Linked DNA regions of Arabidopsis thaliana. The protein of the gene in region 1 purifies or fractionates together with the protein of each later gene. This does not show direct contact. Each region holds a gene or a part of one and is shown in the gene's direction. Other genes may lie near its edges.

Region 1 (8,807 bases):
GCAACAAAACAGAGTTGCTTCTAAAACCCGAACCGAAATGTCCGGTCTGATTCGGTCTAAATCACGATTAGGTTCGTTTTAAAACCTAGGAGGCAATAACCGGACGGATCATAAATTCATAATAGAGACAGACAAATTGGTCCATTATTAAAATCACTTGGGCATTTGGGGATGATTCAAATGCCCAAGTTTTCTCAAATTTGGACGATTCATTCACCTAAGACATACTTGAGCAACAACAAAGTGAAGTCCACTGTCATATCTTATGTCTCAAAAAGTATTGAAATGTGTCAATTGATATTGGAGAGGCACACTAGCTAAGGGATTATTCAATCAATTTCCAGCAATTTAATTAAACTTATTTGTAGTGAAAGTGGGAAGATAAAAGATCTCACCCTCACATGTTCAAAAAAAAAAGTTGAAAATGGAAGTAATTCAACATGTAGCATAGAGCCCAAATATGTCTCATTTTTTTAATCCATATAATCTCAAATCCTCTTACTTACTTCTAAACATATGGTTCCCATAATCATAACAATGCTATGTTAACATGGCCGGTTCTAAAGGAAGCCAAGTGCAGCAACTGCCTTACGCCTCTACGTGTTAAAATGAAAATGAAGACCACTGACCACTTCTATTAAAGCTTCATTCACTAGTGTATAATTACACATTTTTTTAAGGATTTATGAGTAGTGATTGAGGCCCATATGTTTGTATGTTTGTTTTTCTTACTATATCATTACTTGACTATAAGAGTTGGTTTCCTATTCCATTCTCTTTTCTAACAGCCTATATATGTAAAAATCTAAGCAAAATTTCTTGTCAAGAGGATGATTGTACATTTGTACTTGGTTATCTCGCCCCGGCCCAAAACATACCTAAGGCCAGGTGCTATATCCTCAACCTGCTTTGGCATTCATCAATCTACGAACTTTGGCGTGAAACGGTGACAAGATTAACAAGATTCACTCTCAACTACGATGTTCTACTATCTCAAATCTTTAAAAAAGTGGATCAAACTGTCAAAAGTCTAGTTCGATGGACTAGCTTCAACACTCCTCCAAATCTAGTTCGATGGACTATATATTCTCTTCTGATGCTATCCTTATCTTGGATTAGGCATCTAAACTATGGTTTTAATGGTGTCATGAGGTTTTACAACTTACAAGGATGAAAGTTATTTACTCCCAGTCACTATCTTAATCAAATGACAAAATGTTAACTAGTTTGAGTGCTTATATATTAGTTATGAATCTGAAATTTATTAGTGTGTACATAAGTGATACAACACTTAAATAACATCTACATGAGTTTTTAAATAACATAATAATCCATTATAGTAGTTTACGGCATAAGGTATGAACCAAATTTTTCATTGCACGCTGAAAAGTGAAAACCTTTAAAATGCATAATGACTAAGAGTCTATGACAACAGTAACTTACTATATATTAGAGGAGGGGTGAAAAAAAAAGTAGAGAGACTGGTCCAAAAACTTAACCCCACTCAATAAACCCAGACGTGACTTGTTTGACGATAACTCCATCTTTCTATTTTGGGTAACGAGGTCCCCTTCCCATTACGTCTTGACGTGGACCCTGTCCGTCTATTTTTAGCAGATTAATCCAACGGTTCTTATTCTTTCTTCGACCCTTCACGACATTGCCTCAAAGCCGTCCGATTCTCATCTCACGCCCAATGGACCACATATATCACCAGTACTCCGCAACTTAGCTGTCGTGTAGGATTTCACGTGGCATTTATTTGTTCTAGTTTGTAGTGCAAACATTGCAAGTTGATATGGTCCCCTATCGATCACCGTCGTCTCTTTAGCTTCACATCGAGATTCTTCTTTCTTTCCTACGTGTAATAGCATTTTTGATTTTGAGAATTTCTTTAGAACCGTTGGATCTCTCATCGTTGGTTGATCCATCCATCCAAATGGGACCTGTGTGTGCTCCATCCAGGGCATATGATCCCAAAGCCAAAAGAGTATTTCCAAGTGCTTTCTTTCTTTCTTTCTTTCTTTCTTACTAACCTTTTTTTTTCTTATGCTTTAGACTAAGAAATTTATTCGGCCATATCCACTTTTACGAATATACTTCTTACAAGATCTAGATTTTTTTGAGTTAATTCGGTGTATATAACATTGGCATAGACTGCAATTAAGTAAATGATAATGTGATAATGATGCGATGTGTTGTTATCAAGTAGTATAATATAGATGGCTAAATAGGTAAACAAAATTACGTGTTATATGTACACAATTAGGTAGAACCGTAGAAATTAAACTGAATAAAACCTTTATTAATTTTAAAATTATATGGTACAGATAAATACGGAAAAACATTCACGCTTTACGTAACAATTAAGTGGAAAGTAAAATTATCCCAAAAATATTTATATCACATCATTGTTATATTTCTAAGTTTTTTTTATTTCTCTAATGGTATATGTTTTACAGATTGTTTTTTGGGAAAATTCTTAAAGAGACTTGAAGAATGTTTTTTTTTTATTTTCTTGAAATGTTTGACACTTGAAACCGTTTAAAAACTAAATATAGTATATATCATTGTTGGTCTCATACCTTGTAATTCACCACATATATTATCAATGGGGAAGATTTGAAAATTTTTGGGGGATCACAAAACGAAGGAAAGAGTACAAAAAGAGAAGGAAAAGATAGAAGATATATGTTTTTAACTTCATTGGTATGACATCAATAAATAAATAGTTGAATGTACTTTAGTTTCTCTTTTGGTTTAATGCACATCATCTCGATCAATTGTCATCATCTTACATTGAATTATACGACCAGATCTGATAACAAGTGAATTCGTACTTGCCCTTCCCTTTCTTCTCATACGTCCTTCTAACTAATTTTGATTGTAACTTATAATTATATAACCATATTTAATTTTATTTTATCTAAAACCAATTGAAGCAAATTAAAATATCATAAATCTTGAGTCCCACATGAAGACAATATATAAAACTCGTGCAAATTTGCTTAAAATGCTTCTATGAGACCATGACCAAGTGAGATTAATAAGCGATTCAATGTGCAAATCAAAAGAGAAAAGAAGCTAATGGGTTTAAATATAACCAAACAGAATAATAATGCTATGTTTAGTTTTTCTAATTGAATCATACCTTTGTGTCCATCACCTACTTACCGGTCAGAATAAAGCAATTACGTCTGCAACCAAAAAGCACTAAGACTTTCGGTCAGACATGATCTCTAACATCGGACGAACCCTAAGATAACCAAAATAAACTATATCTTATATTCAAATCTCTGTTTATTTTATCCATTTATGTTTTCTTTCTTTCCCATAATTTTTTTTGTGTCTCATCAGACTCTCTTACCAAACTGAATTTATCAACATGGTTTTTTTTTTGGCCACATCAAAATGGTGGTTTATAAAGTAGACTAATACAAAAGACATTTCTGTTAATTTCACTAACAAAAATAATCTTAGCAGTACTATAGATTGGAAAAGGAAAAGCAAATCTAGCAGTAAGATTTATCAAAACTAGCAGTAAGAGTTTTAGATATCATGAAAACATCACAAACGAGTAGTGTTTTACTTTACATTTTTAACCAATCACAAGGGTAGTTCCGTAAGTTGGGAAAATCGTACGAGGCTTCACCTAGTTAAGGTTAGGTCACATGATTCCCTGAACTCGATTTTATAAGTAAAAAAGAAAAATTTATAAAATCAAAATTTTTTATATAAAAAAATCAGGTGGATTTATCAGACCCTACCATCGAGATGTCGACACGTGTCCAAACTCATTCATTGCCCTACTATTTTCTGTTTAGGGTTGCAATCACTCATCGCACACGCGCCATCTCCACCTTCCATTATTAATCTCTCATTTTCAACATCACACTCTTACGAATCATACGATTTTAATATCTCTGTCTCTCTCAACGTATTAAATAAAAATGGTTTTAAATGTTAGGGTTTTTTGTAGGATTTTCAATTATTAATCTCTATAATTCGATGAACTAAGTAAAAAAGCATCAAACTTTCTTGGCAGAATCACATTTTTCTCTAAACTAAATATGGACTGAAATTGAAAAATTAAACCACTAGCTAGAATAAAGTGTTGGTGAGAGTGGAACTCTAATTTCTCTCCTTTACTAATTATGTATAAACACAAAAATGCACCAAATTTTTAGGTTTGAAAATATCTAAGCATGGATAGGGTAATTAACATTTTTTCTTTCAATTTTGCAATATTTGAATAAATCCTATGAGGGTCTTTGGTACACAATAATTGGAGGGTATATAGTTGAGTCTGAGAGTATATTAGAAAGAGAATATTTCAAGTAATGAAGCTGACATGTTTATATGTACTTTGAGAGAAGTGTTGTGAGATTTGTACAAATGTATATGTACACTTTAAAAAGCAATATAAGATAGATAAAAAAAATATAAAGAAAAAAAGAAAGAAAGAAAGAAAGAAAGAGAGAGGCTCATATATATATAGAATTGCTTGCAAGGAAAGAGAGAGAGAGAGATTGAGATATCTTTTGGGAGAGGAGAAAGAAAAAGAAAATGGGAAGAGGGAGAGTAGAATTGAAGAGGATAGAGAACAAGATCAATAGGCAAGTGACGTTTGCAAAGAGAAGGAATGGTCTTTTGAAGAAAGCATACGAGCTTTCAGTTCTATGTGATGCAGAAGTTGCTCTCATCATCTTCTCAAATAGAGGAAAGCTGTACGAGTTTTGCAGTAGTTCGAGGTATATATCTACTTTTGTATATATATTACTTATAACATAAACATTTTATATACATATTAAGTAACACAAAAATGTCTTGTATGTATGGGTCTCTCTGTGATGTGTTGTTGTGTCGTACGTACGTGTTCTATCATATCCTTTTAAAAGAAGCAAAGAGGAAAAAAAATTTGGGATACCCCAAATCTGTATCATTTTATAACAAGTTTGCTTTTTTGATGTTCTTTTGTGTTTCTCTTTGATTTCCATTTTTGTTTTTGATTTTTTTTCTATTTCTCTTTACATCTATCAAAGTTTTTTTTCTTATATTTTATTGCTTATTTGTTTGTCTACTTAATTCACATTATCTGAGAGAAGAACAATCTATCTGATATGAAATTAGGGTTAATTTCTCTTGTGAGTACTCTTTAATTCACATAAGCTTAAAGTTTCCACCTTTTGATTCTGGGGGTCGTCCAATTCGATCAAATCACTCAATTTTGTTGTCAGATTGATATAAGTTCATAGGGGGATATTGTTTCCACGACAATCCATTTTAGTAACCCTTAGGGGTTTCCAATTTTGGGTTTTGAATTGACGCTAATGTCAAATTCATCTAAAGTCCGTTGGATATGTATACTTGGGGATGGGATTCATCCTTTTTTCTGGGTTCTTTAGATCTTCTCTTAAAAGACTAACAGATTTTGTTGTAAACCCTAGGAAACAGTTAAAAATCCCATTTTTAAAAACATGTTTTGAACTTGATGAGTAAGATTAATGGAAGAAATGATGTTTTTGTGTGGTGTGAAGCATGCTTCGGACACTGGAGAGGTACCAAAAGTGTAACTATGGAGCACCAGAACCCAATGTGCCTTCAAGAGAGGCCTTAGCAGTTGTACCCAATTCTCTTCTCTTTCTTCTAATTACCTTAATTAATTACTCTCAATTTTTACTTTGATTTTTAGAGTCAAATGATTAATGTTATAATTTGTCATATACTTCAGGAACTTAGTAGCCAGCAGGAGTATCTCAAGCTTAAGGAGCGTTATGACGCCTTACAGAGAACCCAAAGGTAAACTAATTAGCTTCTTCAGCTACCTTCAGAGAGTGTTTGTTTTTTTAGTAGATTTTTTTGATGGTTTTGATGTTGAAATAGGAATCTGTTGGGAGAAGATCTTGGACCTCTAAGTACAAAGGAGCTTGAGTCACTTGAGAGACAGCTTGATTCTTCCTTGAAGCAGATCAGAGCTCTCAGGGTACTACTTTGTTCATCAATATCTTTATACACTGATCTATTTCCATAGTAAGATTAAATTTGGTGTTTAATTCTGCAGACACAGTTTATGCTTGACCAGCTCAACGATCTTCAGAGTAAGGTAAATAAAGAAACACTCATTCTCCTCTCTAAATTCCTCATCTAAAAGTAATGTAACCAAGAAAACACAAATATTTGGAGCAGGAACGCATGCTGACTGAGACAAATAAAACTCTAAGACTAAGGGTAATTAATATACATTCTCATATCACCAAATTAATGCATCACTAAATTTGGTTATAATGTGTGTGTGTATATACATATGTGACAGTTAGCTGATGGGTATCAGATGCCACTCCAGCTGAACCCTAACCAAGAAGAGGTTGATCACTACGGTCGTCATCATCATCAACAACAACAACACTCCCAAGCTTTCTTCCAGCCTTTGGAATGTGAACCCATTCTTCAGATCGGGTAACTTTAGACTAGTATAACCAATTTGATTTGAGTTCTATTATAAGCTTTTCTTAAGAAAGTATCTCAAACTACTAAATTTTATGGAGCAGGTATCAGGGGCAACAAGATGGAATGGGAGCAGGACCAAGTGTGAATAATTACATGTTGGGTTGGTTACCTTATGACACCAACTCTATTTGAATCTTTCTCACTTAATCAATCCCTCTCTTTTTTTTTTGACATTTTTAAGATGATGTTTCTATTTTATTACCTCTCTCATGTTTTCTGTCTTGTGTGCATGTGTGTGTGTAATGTTTATGCCCTTCTATTATTCAATAATTTTTTCGACAATTTTGCTTCCTATTTTTACCCATTACTCCTAAACTTCCTGATCCAGTTTCTTTTAAAATAACTCCCATTTTATGCATGTTATCTAACCAATTCTCTTAACTATGATTTATGGTACGATATAACTCACAGTCTCACACTATCTATTTGGTGTTTTTTTGTTTGAGTCTTGAGAAGGGACCGCTTGTTTATCTCTCTTGTTAAAGAGCAACTCACTGGCCACTGCTTATGTATCTGTAGGCCCCACCTATATCATTTTGGCTATATCTATACTTTTGTAGAGGGAGTATTACTATAGAGAAGAAGATAAATTTGGTTCTAATATATCTTGCAGGTAGTTGATATTCTCAATTATCATGAAGATTTGATAGACAAGTTTATCAGATACCTTAAACATAGGTTTAAGATCTCAATTGAAATGTGAATTCACCCGACGATTAGAGTTACGATCTAAGGAAGCGTTTCTTGAATTTTGAGTTTGTTTGATCAAGAGTAGAATGCTTTTCTATTACTAAGGTTGTTAATGCTTATATTCCATGACCAAGGCCAAGAGAACAAACAAAAACATGGTGCCTCTTGATGTATAGTAATGGCTCTTAATGGTCATATACAGAGAAAAAAAGATTAATGTCGTTGCACAAGCTTGAAGTTACTTACTCCTCGTCTTCCTCATTAGTGTCTTCGTCTTCCTCATCCTCATCGCTCCCAATATAGGGCTTCATCTACTTGAAAACCAAATGCTCATGCAGTGGAAAAAGATAACAGAGGTTCAAATTAAGGCAAACAAAACTACAAGTGAGAAAGGGAAACTACAAGTGGTAAGATGTAATGTTTTGACTCAAAACCAGATCAGACAATGAAAAAAAGTATTGATACAAAAAGTCCATCCGGAAGCATAATTACCGCTTGCAGGATGTCATCAGAGATGTCTGTTAGTCGGCCAATGGCATAGATGGTGAGCGGACCAGAGTAGCGTAAATCCTCTAAATACTGTCTAAAAGCCGGACCGACCCGACAAGGATCACAGTCAAGGGGAATAGGACACCTATTGATATCCCAAAAGACTGTTGTTACAGCCACATCATCCTTGTCCAACTGGGTAGCCCAAAGGGAAACTAGTTGTGGTAAGAGCTTGTTTGACTCAAAAAATGGCTAACTAGGATGATGCTGAATTACCATCTGTTCATGTTTTTGACTAGAGAGATGGGTAGTGAAATTTTCAAAGCCTTTGCAAAACGCCTGTGGGACCTGTTTCAGAAAAAGACTTAAAAGACTTGAGACTCAAGGAAAATAATATCCATTATATAAAGATGACAACAAATATTAACGGAAGTAGGAGTGATTGAGAACGATTCTAGTAGAAGAGACGGCTCGCAGGACGTCGTTTATAATAGGCCAATGGCAGAGATAGTGAGAGGACCGGAGTAGCCTAAATTCTTTAAATGTCGTTTGATACACGGACCAACTAGACGAGCATCATACTCAGAGGGAACCGGACACGTCTTGATATCCCAGAAGACCGATGTTACGGCCTTAGCTTGCTGCCGCGTTGCCTTCATCATCATCTTCTCCTTTTAATCTATAACGGAAATCAAACATCAGATAAAGCATTCGAAAAGATAGATTGACACAGGTTAAATCATCCACTTCAGAGAAAAAGAGAGGGACATGGCCGTAAACAATGAGATAAGGATCGGCCTAATGTTTATAATGGGCTTGCGTTTAATGGGCCTACAGTTTCTTGAATCAGCCTTATGCATGAGTCCTAGTATTTTATCAACTTTTTTTTTTCATCTTTCTTTAGTTACAATAGATTTAAAGTGTTTTTTGTTAATGCCATTGCAAAATTTGGTAACTGTTTATAACATTGTTCCTCACTTCAAAATTTAAAGCACCATTAATAAAAGCTATACATATAATTATAACTTGGGTTTTGTGCAAAAAAAACAAACAAATTAACCTTTCATTTTAAATAAATGCAATTCAATACCGCAATATCAAAAGTAACCCGTATAACCTTT
Region 2 (7,291 bases), on another chromosome or scaffold:
CTAGATTATCCAGACTTGCATGATCAAGATGTGTTCAACAGAATCAAGCATGAGCCTTTTATCTCAGAGATTGGAATCCAAATGAGATTCTTTGATACAGTTTACTTTGGTGGGTTTTGTCAAACGAGCAGAGACATAAACTTGGTTTGCACAATGCATGCTAATTGTTGTATTGGTTTGGACAAGAAGCTTCATGATCTGAATCTTGTCCTTGATGATTGGAGAAAGTACCTGTCTTTGTCAGAACCAGTGCAGAACACGACGTGGAGTGTTCCTATGAAGTGTTTGGAAGATTGAGATTTCCTTCTTTCTTTGTTTTGTTGAGATTTGGATGAAAAGTATATTTAAAAATGAAGAGTTTATTGTTCGTGCAAGGAATATTCTTTAGCTCTCTAATCTAATCAAATATTTTTTTTGATGGTTAATTTTCTCTGTTTGTTAATGTCATTTTTTGTTTTCCGAGCCGAATGCTAGAAAGTACTAAAATAATCTTCTAGACTTTTAGTGTTTTTGGTTTGAAATGTTAATGTATTGAATAAATTGTGTTGTGAAATGATACGATTTTTGTTTCAAACTTTTTCTGAAATTTCTCAAAGTTTTTGATCTTATTTTCAATTACCGAAGCACAAGTTGTAAAAACGTATATATTTTTTCTTTTGAATATAATTTGACATTACATTAAAAAAAAGAAAGAAATGATACGATTTTGATTTTGGTAATATGAAAAATGATCAATGTAGTTTCATAAGTTCTATCAACGTAGATTTTGTAGTCATTTACCCGATTTGTAGATTTAAGTAGTTATTGGTTTGGTCAGTTATAATTTTGGTTTGGGCCTAGATTCGTTACAAGTTTTTTAAATTTAGATGAGATGGGCTGCCGGAGAAGCCCAACACAACATAGGTGGCTTGCCAATTTGCCCAGATGCTTTCGAGTGTAGGTTATATAAGTTTATCATATCTCCATTGGATTAAAAGTAGGCAAGATTTAAACAAAGTGATTCATCAATAATGATATGATATGTGTCATTCATTTACAAATTATGTAACACATAATAGATATTTTGTACCCTAAAATTTTGAAATTTATTGTACATAAATTTTAGAAAATCTGTTGGACTGTGACTAGTTCTTCAACTTATAGAGAGTTGAGTGTGTTTATAATCACATACTGCCTCTTTAAAAAACGTTAACCAAGTCGAAACTCGAATATGGTACTACCACACATGACAAAATAGAAAAAACACTTGAATGTTTACCAAGTAGTACTTGGTCCATTGGCCCAAAAAAAATGAGAATTTGTGCTCCTTTGAAAGGAGTTTTCAACTGCTAGACCCAACCCAAAAGAATGTACGATTAGGCACATTTTCCATAATTGATGTAATGTAAAGAAACACTTGAATTTTAAGTTTTACATATAATATTTACATTTAATTCATCTTCCTCATGAATATGTTGTTCAATTATCAAAGAACCTACAAAGATACAGTATTATAACTATAAGATCACCAAAGAAGAAAACAATCATTTGAATAACAAAAACAGTAAAACACCATATAATAAAACCGTGTTCTAGATACAAATGTAAACCATAGTATCTCACCTTGCTTATCGATTCATCTTTGTAAAAAAAACAAAAACAAATGTGTTCAACTTGGTTTGCAAAAAACAAATAACACAAGTACACAACCATCCATCCAATAACACAATCACAATATTTGTTTCCCAACATTTATGCAACCTTATTTTTAGTGGACACTAACCATAGAAGAACAAATTTCAGTTGTAGTGTTACAAAGTCCATTAAAATTACGCGTTATCAATTACAAAACCACATCTGTTTTTTTTTTTTTTAAACACTTTAAATTTTGTGTCAGATAAAATGAATATATGTTATGACAGCAATCACTTTCAAAAGGCCTATCAAATGGGTCCCAAATGTATAATCCTAATGTCAATCACAAGTAACCTAAGTTCGGCCCAAATACCTGATGGTCCACTTTACAATTTTTCATTAAATAAATATTAAGTAAATAAAATAACAGTAAAAAAAAAGAGTTATTCAGTCTGAAGAACATTAAATTAAGGTTATTAACGTCAAAGAAAAGATAATCATTTTCTCTGGTGGCGGCGTTTTAAAAACATAGATTTGAAATTTTTAACTTTATTCTATAAAACTAAAAAGCTCTCTGTCTAGTAGTATCTAAACGAATTTAACTAAAACCAGCTAAAAACAAGAAGCATAAAAATAATATCAAAGTAGAAACTAAAGGATCTAATAAGTAAGACAAAATTCGAAATTAAGATCCATGGCGGATTTTTGTCTCTTCTCTCATTGGATCGCACTTGACACAAATGATGGTTCGAGACATAACAGCAGAGAAGGGTCCGGTCCGAACCGAAACGGAGGAAGAAAGCAAAAAGGCAAGACCTTTGTTGTTGGGTTGTTGATAAAGAGAGAGAGAGGGGGACACGTGTAGTGAAAAGAGAGGAAGAGAGGTCACTCTCCGTTCCCGGTTCTGTCTCGTGCGGTGCGATTGTTGGGTGCCATGTCAGAGTCCGTTCCCCTATGAGCCCGGCGAATCCGAATCATATGCCTTTCTTTTCGCTATCTCTCTCTCTCTCTCTCTCCCTTTAACCCAAACCCATCTCTCAAAGACTTGACCTTTCTCTCTCTCTATCTCTAATTTATTTATCGTTTCGCGTGTCGCCTTCTCTCTTTCTCTCATTCTCTCTCTCTCTTTCCCTTCGTATCTCTCTCTCGTGAGGCCGTGCCCTAGAAGAAGAAGAAGAAGAAGCCCCTTTCTCCGGGACTTCAATCCCTAACTTCCGTCGCCGGATTTCTCGTCCTTGATTATCGGAGGACTCTTTAACAACTTTATTCCGATTTCAGATTCCCAGATTTGTAAGCTGCTTTCTCCTTTCTGGGTATTTCCTCTTTTTGTATTTGCTTATGTAATTTCGATGATTTATCTTACTTGGTGAGGGGTTTTGATGCTTGTGTAATGTTAATGCTGTTTAATTAAGGACTGATTTAGTGTGATTCGGTTTAATTGAGTTTCTTTGGGGGGGAATTGGGTTTATCTCCAATGAAGCTTTATGTTTAGTGCCAATGTGTGTTGTTTAGCTCTTTTCTCTATTGATTTGTGTGTGAAATTATGTTTGTTTGAGTTTCATTACCAATGGCTGTCTTTACTTGAATCTCAGTGATTCATGAATTCTACCATCTGTCGTTGATTATTTCAGTTATATAGGATCATTGATCTATGTTTTAGAACTAGTGTATTATTGCCTTAGAGAACACCTGATTTTGAAGTAGAGGAATGTAGTTTGCAGTAGAGGAATGTAATTAAGTATGAATTTAATGGAAGTATTCGTAAGGAGTGAGGGAACGAATCGTTTATTATAAAAGCTGTGTTAAGATTAGATTACTTACTAGGTTTGTGTCTCATCTTTAATTAAGACTTTTGATTACGGATGGTGAGGCTTCTAACGTTATACCACCATTTTTAGGGGTGACATCATTTAGTTTCTTAGCTTCTATAGCTTATATGCTTGGATGACGCTGTTTGATTTCATATCGGTTTAAAAGTGAATGAAATTGTGGTTATGGCCTTATGGTTTGGTACACTGTGCTTTGTCCGATGCTGCATCATTGATTTGAGTTATACTTCATTTAATCTTATCAATTTTTCTGTTCAGTATTTCTGAGCATGTGTACAATTTAAGTATTTAACTACCTCACTGTTGTTTCAGTGTCTCTTGATCTTAGATTATGGTTTACATTACTCGTTTTTTGTTTACAATTTTAGTGTAGAGACAGAGTTTTTTGAAGGCCAGTATTCTTTAGTTACTTCGGTAGCTGTGATTTACACATGAAGGTCTATCCGGTTCTCTATCAAGCATATGGTATGGAAACAGAAGTAGAAAATGAAAGATTCAGGCAGTGAAATGATTAAAAGAGATTGGGTCATGAAGCAGAAACGAAGAAAACTTCCGTCTATACTAGATATATTAGACCAAAAAGTGGATAGTTCTATGGCTTTTGATTCCCCGGAATACACTTCTTCCTCTAAACCAAGTAAGCAGCGGCTTAAGACTGATTCGACTCCTGAAAGGAACTCCTCTAAGAGGAAAGGAAATGATGGGGTAACTTCATTTTATCTTTCTGGTGTTCTTAAAAGTTTGTCTCCTTATTTTATTATATGGTGTTGTTTAATTAATCATTTTTCTTTCCTTACAGAATTATTTTGAATGTGTGATCTGTGACCTTGGTGGTGATTTATTGTGTTGTGATAGTTGTCCTCGGACCTATCATACCGCATGCCTCAATCCACCTCTTAAGGTAAATGATTTTTTTTTTTTCCATGTGTCGTTTGTAGTCGTAGATTCGCAACACCTAAATTTGGGAAACTTGTCTTACTCCTTATCTCGTCTCCTCCAGCGGATTCCAAATGGTAAGTGGATCTGCCCAAAATGTTCCCCAAACAGTGAAGCACTCAAGCCTGTCAATCGTTTAGATGCCATTGCTAAGCGAGCAAGAACAAAAACCAAGAAAAGAAATTCAAAAGCCGGACCAAAGTGCGAAAGAGCTTCTCAGATTTATTGCAGTTCTATAATTTCTGGAGAACAATCTTCAGAGAAAGGGAAATCTATATCGGCCGAAGAGAGCAAATCCACAGGAAAGGAAGTTTATTCTTCCCCGATGGATGGCTGTTCAACTGCTGAGCTTGGTCATGCATCTGCGGATGACCGACCTGATTCATCGTCTCATGGAGAAGATGATTTGGGGAAACCCGTCATACCCACTGCAGATTTACCATCTGATGCAGGATTAACGTTGCTGTCCTGTGAAGATCTCTCCGAATCTAAACTATCAGATACGGAGAAAACTCATGAAGCACCCGTGGAGAAGTTGGAACATGCTTCCAGTGAGATCGTGGAGAACAAGACAGTTGCTGAAATGGAGACTGGAAAAGGTAAAAGGAAAAAACGGAAGCGTGAACTAAATGATGGGGAAAGTCTTGAAAGGTGCAAGACTGATAAGAAACGCGCGAAGAAAAGTTTGTCCAAAGTGGGTTCCAGTTCTCAGACTACCAAATCACCGGAGTCTTCGAAAAAAAAGAAAAAGAAAAATCGTGTGACTTTAAAATCCTTGTCCAAACCTCAGTCCAAGACAGAAACACCAGAAAAAGTGAAGGTATGATTTCCTACTCATGATAGATTTTGTAGACATTCTACTATGCTGATACTAGGGAAATGAATTGTCTGAAACCTTAAAATGTTGCATCCACGCCTTTTTCTTAAGTGTGTTGTAGCACTAAAAAGATATAAAAGAAAAAAAATTCAGAGATCAGAGATTTGGTAGAGTTACAAGATTCAGAATCGTTTCAAGATTGTTTGACACTCTGTATTTAATGTTGAGTATCTTCTGCATTAATGTAAAGAGTCTTTGGTCAATATTGCATGTAGTGTTTCTTGTTCTGTCCTGAAGATTGTGGCTATTTTAAGTTCTTATATAACCAGAGTGACATTTTGTTTTGCTTATCATTTTGCGACTCTTCACAAACTCAATATTGTTTTGCCTGTTTATTAGTATAGTGGTTTCTCACAAGTAGTTATGATACATGTGACTATACCTCTGTTTCGGCAGATGAATTATGGATACCTCTTTTAACTGCAGGAGCTTGGAAATAGTTTGATTTTTTTTCTTTAGGAATTTAGAGTTGAAATTTCTTGATGGTCCTATTGATTTCTTTTTTTATTCGTTGTTGTTCTTGCATCATCTTTCATTTAGTATATGTTCTTAACCACTTATACGTACTAATGCAGAAGCTTCCCAAGGAGGAACGTCGTGCAGTACGTGCCACTAATAAATCTTCTAGTTGTTTGGAAGATACAAACTCTCTTCCGGTTGGAAACCTCCAGGTATCCATCAAAATAAAAATGTTGTTCCTTCAGAATTATCTATTATGATGCGCCCTCATTTCTGGTGACTCATGTGTTGCTCATGCTTGTTAATATCTCTTTTCATTCTTTTGTTTGTGGTTTCCTAACAGGTTCATCGTGTTTTAGGATGCCGAATCCAAGGTCTGACTAAAACCTCGCTGTGTAGTGCTCTTTCAGATGACTTGTGTTCGGATAATTTACAAGCTACTGACCAACGGGATAGCTTAGTACAAGATACGAATGCTGAATTAGTAGTTGCTGAGGACAGAATAGATTCTTCTTCTGAGACAGGTAAAAGTTCGAGGGATTCACGACTGAGGGATAAAGATATGGATGATTCTGCTTTAGGTACCGAGGGTATGGTTGAGGTGAAAGAAGAGATGCTTTCTGAAGACATTTCCAATGCCACATTGAGTAGACATGTGGATGATGAAGATATGAAAGTTAGTGAAACGCATGTATCTGTTGAGAGGGAGTTACTTGAAGAAGCACATCAGGAAACAGGGGAAAAAAGCACTGTGGCTGATGAAGAAATTGAGGAGCCTGTTGCTGCTAAAACTTCAGATCTTATTGGTGAGACTGTATCATATGAGTTTCTTGTTAAATGGGTGGATAAATCTAATATTCATAATACTTGGATTTCTGAGGCGGAGCTGAAAGGTCTAGCTAAAAGAAAACTAGAGAACTACAAAGCAAAGTACGGAACAGCTGTAATAAACATCTGTGAAGATAAATGGAAACAGCCTCAGCGAATAGTTGCTCTCCGGGTTTCAAAAGAAGGTAACCAAGAAGCTTACGTAAAGTGGACAGGCTTAGCTTATGATGAATGCACGTGGGAGAGCTTGGAGGAGCCTATTCTTAAACATTCATCCCATTTAATAGATCTTTTTCATCAGTATGAGCAGAAAACATTGGAAAGGAATAGTAAGGGTAATCCCACAAGGGAAAGGGGTGAAGTCGTTACCCTCACAGAACAACCTCAAGAGCTCAGAGGAGGTGCCTTGTTTGCCCATCAGCTTGAGGCTTTGAATTGGCTGCGTAGATGCTGGCATAAATCAAAAAATGTAATACTTGCTGATGAGATGGGGCTTGGAAAAACTGTGTCTGCTAGTGCATTCCTCTCCTCCCTTTATTTTGAATTTGGAGTTGCAAGACCTTGTTTAGTCCTGGTTCCACTTTCAACAATGCCAAACTGGCTATCAGAGTTTTCTCTTTGGGCTCCACTCCTTAATGTTGTGGAGTATCATGGAAGTGCAAAGGGACGAGCCATAATTCGAGACTATGAGTGGCATGCTAAGAATTCTACTGGGACGACCAAGAAGCCGACATCCTACAAATTTAAT
Region 3 (7,535 bases), on another chromosome or scaffold:
AGTATAAAGTAGTATACAAAGTCGACGTACGACGATAATGTACAAAACAAAAGAAAAAATGAGAGCTAACTACACCAATTATATGTATCGTATATCCACGTATACCAACCAACATATATATGACATGGTTAAGCGACAACATTTTTTACACATGTAACTATTATAAATTTTTAGTTTATAGCGTTTACAAAGACATTATCATAAAATTTGATTATTACATGACTGCATAATTTAACAAACATAGAACCTTATTAAAATGCATGTTCCAGTGCAATACATGTGGATTGATGTTGAATGACTCTAAAAGATATTGTTATGATACAACAGTATCTCAAAAAAGATTCAGACCAAATATTTTATTGTCTTAATTATTATTATTATTTTTTTTTTTCTATAAATCCGATATTTCCCCAAAAGCCAAAAGGGTGATGTGAGACCGTTATACTTGACATATTTTATATATTTTATTTATATAACCTATTTTGGATCGTTTCCAACTATAAGATATGGGGTTGATAATTTTTGATTGTACATGAAGATTTTGTGTCCTTTGTATTGTATTCTATAGTCGAACTTGGACCACGTGTAATAACACCGGAGCACGCATTTTATAAGCTTTATGCTAGTATCCATACGATTAAATTATAGTTCATCATCATTTGTTATACTATATATTGATGTCACATAATAATTCAGATTTAAATATGGTAATGTGTTTGTGAACTATCCAAAAAATTTCAAAGAAATATACCAAAAATTTAATAGTTAAAATCTGAAAACAAAGCATGTAATTTAAGCTACAATTGTTATTACATATTGTAAGGGCTACGCAATTAGTTCTTGACAGTTGGTTGACTACATAACACTTGCTGAAACCTACGTTTTAGCGTTGGATATCTCTCTATATATTTTTGGTCAATGTCGTTGGAGATTGAATCCTAGATTAAATCCTACAAGAAGAAGAAAGCTTCATGAGAAGAAGAAGATGAAGAAAAGAGAAGAAGCCAAGCTTGGAAGAAGAGAAGAAGAAGATGTCGTGACCAAAGGAGGAAGAAGAGAATAAGAAGTTGTCGTGACCACTGACCAAAGGAGGAAGAAGAGTCAACGACACAAATCCAACATAAGAACGGAGTTGGATTTGTGTTTTGTAATAAGGCCATTGGGCCGTAAGTGAATTATAGCCCCACAAGTGTTAGTGGGTTTGGTTGGTTAAGTTTAAGCTAAATAAGTTAAGGTGGATATAACAAACATAGTTGCACCAATGCATCTCAGCTCACCTGGTCTAAGCAACGGTTTCAAGAAGTTGCTCGCTTCTATTGCTCCACGCCTCCACAAGTAGCTCCTACACAAGAGTAATAACTCATTAGTATAGAGACACAAGATTATACAAGAAATACTTAGTAGACATAATTGTTCATCTCCAGTGTTAATCCTCAATAATTGTTCGATGCAGTATTCTTCTAATGAGATGAAAAATCATTTTTATAGAGTTACCACCCATCAAAACCATTTATACAAAACGTTTTACTTGGTCAGAGTAAAAAAATGCATACAAGTATTGTGTATAAATAAAAAGGTCATCTATTAATGTATAATCTGAATCAAAAAAAGAAAGAGCACCTGCACCAATAACAATGTGAATCTCATCAATGAACAAGATTGTTTGCCCATTCGAAGCATATACTTCCTTCAATATTGTTTTAAACCTTGTCTCAAAATCTTCTCCATAATTAGCACCAACAAGGAGTGAACCCACGTCAAGAGATTTCAGCTCCATGATAAATAGCGAAACCAAGCAAAGCATGTTAAATCTTCCTCTAGCCTCTTTGAGGGGAAAAGGTAAATAAACTTAAATATTTAAAAATATCTAAGTTTATATAATAACAATATTGGGTAAGTGAAAAGTAATTGTCATTATTTTTGACACTTATTTTTATAAGTTAGAAGTAATTATAATTTTTTCAAACAAAAAAGTAAGTTTTTTGTGTGTGAAAAAATAATGATATTGAGAAGGTAATTTAATTAGAGGTGATATTTTATACCTTAAGAAGTGTATTAAAGTTAATAATAACCATAAGTTAAAATTGGTAAGCTAAATGTTAGAAATCATTTGTGTTGTCTGAATTTTCAAGTTTCGTTCGTTTCGGATTACTTTCTTCTTCTGCAAAAACAGATCCCAACCATTTCAAAGGTTCGTCTTCTCCTTCTCTTCCACACTCTTCTCTGCTTCACTTTTTACTCTATCTTCGACTAGTAATATCGCTTTCGACTTCTCAAATTACTTCTCAAGTTACTATTTTTCTCTTCCTTTCTTTCAAATTTTCGTTACAAACTGAGTTTGAAACTGTTTGGGTTTTGTAAAGTTTTGATCTTTTCATGATATTGCGGTAAGAGATTGTTAATTCGACTTCTGGGTACTCACATTTCGATGCTCAATTGTTTATTCTTATGGGTAATTTTGGCTAGGGTTTTTTCCAATTTCTCTCTCGTTCTCTTTCACAAGGTTAGTCGATCTTGCTCATGTGGTATAGAGTTTGATGAATCGAGTTGTTTAGTAGCTATTGTACGAACTATCTCTTGATATAGTTGTAAAGGTTTTAGATTGGGAACAAAAAATTTCACTGTGATGTTTGTTTAGGTAGTAGAGTTCAATTGTGTGAAACTCTAATTTCATAGTTTGCTTAAGTCTCAGAACTAGCACTGAGTCTATTGTTATATGTGTTGTTTATGTAAGTTTGTTGTTATTGATGGGAGATATGTTTTGTGTGCAGAAAATGAGTAGTTTGGTGGAGAGGCTTCGCATACGATCTGATAGGAAACCAGTTTATAACCTAGATGATTCTGATGATGACGACTTCGTTCCTAAAAAAGATCGAACCTTTGAGCAAGTCGAGGCTATTGTCAGAACTGATGCGGTTTGTTTCTCCTCTCGAGCTTATTGTTCAGCTTTTACTGTTTTATGTGTTCTATTTTAATCCTTTTTTTTGTGTTGTTACTCTGAATTTGTAGAAAGAAAATGCATGTCAGGCTTGTGGGGAAAGTACTAATCTTGTAAGCTGCAATACATGCACTTATGCGTTCCATGCTAAATGCTTAGTTCCACCTCTTAAAGATGCTTCCGTGGAAAATTGGAGATGCCCTGAATGTGTAAGATTTTAGTTACGGTCCACAATTATGTTTTGGGATGCTACAGGTTCCATTTTTCTTACATGGAAGAATTGTTGTTTACATTTGCAGGTTAGTCCTCTTAACGAGATAGATAAGATATTGGATTGTGAAATGCGTCCTACAAAATCTAGTGAACAAGGTTCCTCCGATGCGGAACCGAAGCCAATTTTTGTGAAACAGTATCTCGTGAAGTGGAAGGGATTATCATACCTTCACTGCTCTTGGTAGTTACTGCGTGTCTTTTTTGCTGTCTGGACACGCTAATTATCAATGTTTCTTTCTGTGAACACTATAATATGTGATTTATTTCCTTTTACTAATCATAGGGTGCCTGAGAAGGAGTTCCAGAAGGCTTATAAGTCAAATCATCGTTTAAAAACCAGAGTGAACAATTTTCACCGTCAAATGGAGTCATTCAATAACAGCGAAGATGATTTTGTTGCCATACGTCCTGAGTGGACCACTGTTGATCGGATTCTTGCCTGCAGGTCTAGAGAATGGAATTAATTCCTTTATTTATCTATCTGCCAACTTTTTTTTTAATATCCTTGTTTTCAGCATAATCCATTCTCTAATAAACACGTATCTTTGATAGAGTGCTGCTTAACCTAAATTTACTGTTATCACGATTTTGGGTCTCTGAAACATGATAAATGACCTGCTTACCTTTTTTTTCTTCTTTTTAAGTTACCATTTTCTTAGTTGTTTCGTAAATCAGGAATTGTGACAGTTGCATTGGTTTCTTTTATGATATAGAGAGGAAGATGGGGAGCTGGAATATCTTGTCAAATATAAAGAGCTATCCTATGATGAATGTTATTGGGAGTCAGAATCAGACATCTCAACCTTCCAGAATGAAATTCAAAGGTTCAAGGATGTAAATTCTAGAACTCGCAGAAGTAAAGATGTTGACCATAAAAGAAATCCCAGAGACTTTCAACAGTTTGATCATACTCCTGAATTCCTCAAAGGTATTTGGATCACCTTAAATCATATACTATAAATGTTTCTTATATTTGGTACTTATAGATGTTATGATTTATTTGTTTCCTGCGATTGAAGGCTTGTTACATCCATACCAGCTTGAGGGACTTAATTTTTTGCGGTTCTCGTGGTCAAAACAGACGCATGTAATCCTTGCTGATGAAATGGGACTAGGTAATTTTTCAATTGTCCCACTTGGGTGGTCACATAGATCTTTTCATCCATTGTAAGGGGCCTTTGTTTTCTATTCCTGTAATGTTGTGAGATTTTTCCTGTTACAGGCAAGACAATTCAAAGCATTGCCCTTTTAGCTTCACTTTTTGAGGAGAACCTCATTCCGCATTTGGTAATTGCTCCTCTATCGACTCTGCGTAACTGGGAGAGAGAGTTTGCCACATGGGCCCCACAGATGAACGTGGTATGTATGCAGTTATACACGCAATGATCTGTGCCATTTGTATGTTTTTGTTGTTTGTTAATGGAATGGTCTTCGTGGTCATTTGACGGGTAGGTTATGTATTTTGGCACTGCGCAAGCTCGAGCAGTTATCAGAGAACATGAGTTTTACTTATCGAAAGATCAAAAAAAGATCAAGAAAAAGAAATCTGGACAAATAAGTAGCGAAAGCAAGCAAAAAAGAATCAAGTTTGATGTCCTCCTCACATCGTATGAGATGATCAACCTAGATTCAGCAGTTCTAAAACCAATTAAGTGGGAGTGCATGGTAACTCTTATTCTCTAATGAGACTTTACTTTCTCTTAGTCGTCTCTCTTTCTCTCTTACATGTTGCCTAGTAACAATTGTTTTGGGCAGATTGTTGATGAAGGTCATCGACTGAAAAATAAGGATTCAAAGCTGTTCTCTTCATTGACACAGTATTCAAGTAACCACCGTATTCTTCTGACAGGAACACCACTTCAGGTTCGTCATTTGAGTTTGATTTCTGAAGTTTATACTTTCAATAGTTGTATCTGAGCATAGTAGCTACGATTTGCAATGAGAATTGTTATATATTATCTTGCACTAATGTCTTACCTGATTAGTTGCAATATGTTACTGATGATTATGTGGTGCCTTTACAGAACAACTTGGATGAACTTTTCATGCTCATGCATTTTCTTGATGCGGGGAAGGTATCACAAGAATAGCAAAGATAAATAAGTTCGCATACTTAACAGAATTTTATGTAGCTAACATGTTATTTGATTGCACAATACTTGCAGTTTGGAAGTTTGGAGGAGTTCCAGGAGGAGTTCAAAGATATTAATCAAGAGGAGCAGATCTCAAGGTTGCACAAAATGTTGGCTCCACATTTGCTCAGAAGTATTAACCAAAACTATTTGTTCATCTTTTTTAATTTATATGTGTTTCAAAAGTTTGGTTGGAGGGAATCTTTCATAGTAATAATTTTATGATCTTAACCATGCTGTCTCGTATTTTGATTGCTCTTCCAGGGGTAAAAAAAGACGTAATGAAAGACATGCCCCCCAAAAAGGAGCTCATTTTGCGTGTTGATCTGAGCAGTCTGCAGAAAGAATATTACAAAGCTATTTTTACCCGTAATTATCAAGTATTGACAAAAAAGGGAGGTGCTCAAGTAAGTTCTTTTTAATTTTTGTTTACACTTTTTGGATCATTAAACCTCATAGGTGGGGTAGAAACCAGGTCAACTGTAATCGTCTAGTGAATGTATTGGTCTATTTCTGTTTCAGATTTCCCTTAATAACATTATGATGGAATTACGAAAAGTATGCTGCCATCCTTATATGCTAGAGGGTGTTGAGCCAGTTATTCACGACGCAAATGAAGCTTTCAAGTAATATCTCATTTCCCAAAAATGGTTATCTGTTTATTACTACTTATTAAAGTCGTCTGCTAACTTTTGCGTTGAACGTTTTCTTATATGTATCAAAGACAACTTTTGGAGTCTTGTGGAAAGCTGCAACTTCTAGATAAAATGATGGTCAAACTGAAAGAGCAAGGACACAGAGTCCTAATATACACACAGTTTCAGCATATGCTGGACTTACTTGAAGACTACTGTACCCATAAGGTATTTGAACTTCTTATATGTACAGTCTGTTTCAGTAGATTTTCATTCTTGTTGTTTTTGTAGAATATCATTTTGACACTGTAGAATCAACTCTACCATTTTCTAGTGTTAGAGTACTTAGGCACAATTATGGAAATACAAGCATGTGCTGAAATTGAGAGTATATGAGCATTCTGTGCCCAACTGAAAGAGCAAAGACACAAAGTTTCCTTATAAACACAGTACAAATCACAAGTTTAGCCATCTTCTATGTACAGTAGTTTTCCAATAGGTCGAGCATGTGCTGAAACTGTGTGTACAGAGTTCTCATAAACACACAGTTTCAGCATATGCTGGATCTACTTGAAGACTACTGTTCTTATAAGGTACTGAACTTGTTATCTGTACTGCGTATATACGAGATCTCTGTATTCTTGCTCTTTTATTTTGACACTTTGTTCTCATATACACTCGGTTCAGCACATGCTCGACTTACTGCCTAAGGATCTTGAAAAAGGTAGAGTTGATTCTATGTCTAGGTGCAATTACTTTCTTAGAATTTTTGTCATTACTTACTCTGTTGGCAATATAACTTCTTTATTCCCTCAAAGATTACTTTTTTTGGTTTCTTGAAATGCCATTATCAATACCATTGCTTTTGCTGACGCATGCACTTGAGACAACTTGTTTTTATCTCTTTCTAGCACATTTTTTTTTAACATGCAGTTAAGGAAAATTCTCATATGATTTACGCTGTTCATTTTCTTGTCTTTGTCAGAAATGGCAGTACGAGCGAATTGATGGAAAGGTTGGCGGAGCTGAGCGGCAAATACGCATAGATCGGTTCAATGCCAAAAATTCTAACAAGTTTTGTTTTTTGCTCTCCACAAGAGCTGGTGGCTTAGGAATAAATCTTGCAACGGCTGATACAGTAATCATTTATGACAGGTTTGAATTTCAGCTTCTCTTAGTGTCATCTGTACTCTTTTCATAGTTATTGTGTCAAGCTGTAAGAGGAACTATTTGGCTTGATAGCATAATATTTTGGAAGTTTAATGTTGATTTTTAAGTGAATTGGGTTGTGATGAGTGATAAAAAGGCACTTGGCTTTTTTCCAATAACAGCTATTTCTTGAACATGGATGTTCTAAGACAGCAGGAAGATCAGGAAAATTATTAACCGCTATCTTGCTAATAATTAGATTTTGTAGGCATGCAATATGGGTGGCGTCCATGGGATCCTGCTTGGATGGCAGTTTGTTTTGGTTTACGCCTGTTCACATTTTCATACGTACGATTGAAACTGTTTTATCTGTTTCTGTAGTGACTGGAATCCTCATGCTGATCTTCA

Evidence for each region.
Region 2: the proteins of SEP3 (region 1) and CHR4 purify together in Arabidopsis thaliana (affinity purification with mass spectrometry, with the first as the bait; one study listed by BioGRID). This does not show direct contact.
Region 3: the proteins of SEP3 (region 1) and PKL purify together in Arabidopsis thaliana (affinity purification with mass spectrometry, with the first as the bait; one study listed by BioGRID). This does not show direct contact.

What each region holds. Positions count from the first base shown.
Region 1 is NC_003070.9:8,591,622-8,600,428, reverse strand, and holds SEP3 (K-box region and MADS-box transcription factor family protein), read left to right. Parts: upstream 1-4,330; 5' UTR 4,331-4,566; coding exon 4,567-4,751; intron 4,752-5,537; coding exon 5,538-5,622; intron 5,623-5,731; coding exon 5,732-5,799; intron 5,800-5,883; coding exon 5,884-5,983; intron 5,984-6,061; coding exon 6,062-6,103; intron 6,104-6,186; coding exon 6,187-6,228; intron 6,229-6,313; coding exon 6,314-6,456; intron 6,457-6,548; coding exon 6,549-6,639; 3' UTR 6,640-6,853; downstream 6,854-8,807. Other genes in the region: AT1G24256 (uncharacterized protein), read right to left, coding at 7,440-7,508, 7,690-7,881, 7,963-8,034, 8,253-8,351. UniProt on the Arabidopsis thaliana protein: Probable transcription factor active in inflorescence development and floral organogenesis.
Region 2 is NC_003076.8:18,088,801-18,096,091, reverse strand, and holds the start of CHR4 (chromatin remodeling 4), read left to right. Parts: upstream 1-2,184; 5' UTR 2,185-2,904; intron 2,905-3,811; 5' UTR 3,812-3,929; coding exon 3,930-4,148; intron 4,149-4,242; coding exon 4,243-4,344; intron 4,345-4,443; coding exon 4,444-5,199; intron 5,200-5,831; coding exon 5,832-5,927; intron 5,928-6,058; coding exon 6,059-7,291. Other genes in the region: AT5G44820 (Nucleotide-diphospho-sugar transferase family protein), read left to right, coding at 1-297. UniProt on the Arabidopsis thaliana protein: Chromatin-remodeling protein that binds DNA through histones and regulates gene transcription. May specifically recognize and bind trimethylated 'Lys-27' (H3K27me3) and non-methylated 'Lys-4' of histone H3. Probable chromatin remodeling factor.
Region 3 is NC_003071.7:10,711,637-10,719,171, forward strand, and holds the start of PKL (chromatin remodeling factor CHD3 (PICKLE)), read left to right. Parts: upstream 1-2,428; coding exon 2,429-2,503; intron 2,504-2,771; coding exon 2,772-2,915; intron 2,916-3,009; coding exon 3,010-3,147; intron 3,148-3,237; coding exon 3,238-3,392; intron 3,393-3,494; coding exon 3,495-3,656; intron 3,657-3,924; coding exon 3,925-4,139; intron 4,140-4,230; coding exon 4,231-4,326; intron 4,327-4,433; coding exon 4,434-4,570; intron 4,571-4,663; coding exon 4,664-4,876; intron 4,877-4,966; coding exon 4,967-5,074; intron 5,075-5,235; coding exon 5,236-5,286; intron 5,287-5,376; coding exon 5,377-5,476; intron 5,477-5,607; coding exon 5,608-5,750; intron 5,751-5,865; coding exon 5,866-5,969; intron 5,970-6,067; coding exon 6,068-6,206; intron 6,207-6,459; exon of another isoform or gene 6,460-6,562; intron 6,563-6,963; coding exon 6,964-7,133; intron 7,134-7,508; coding exon 7,509-7,535. Other genes in the region: AT2G25169 (uncharacterized protein), read right to left, coding at 970-1,079, 1,278-1,342, 1,707-1,822, 2,295-2,378. UniProt on the Arabidopsis thaliana protein: Chromatin remodeling factor that represses the expression of embryonic trait genes (such as NFYB9/LEC1) upon and after seed germination and thus enables the developmental switch to post-germinative growth. Silences some MADS-box proteins such as PHE1 and PHE2.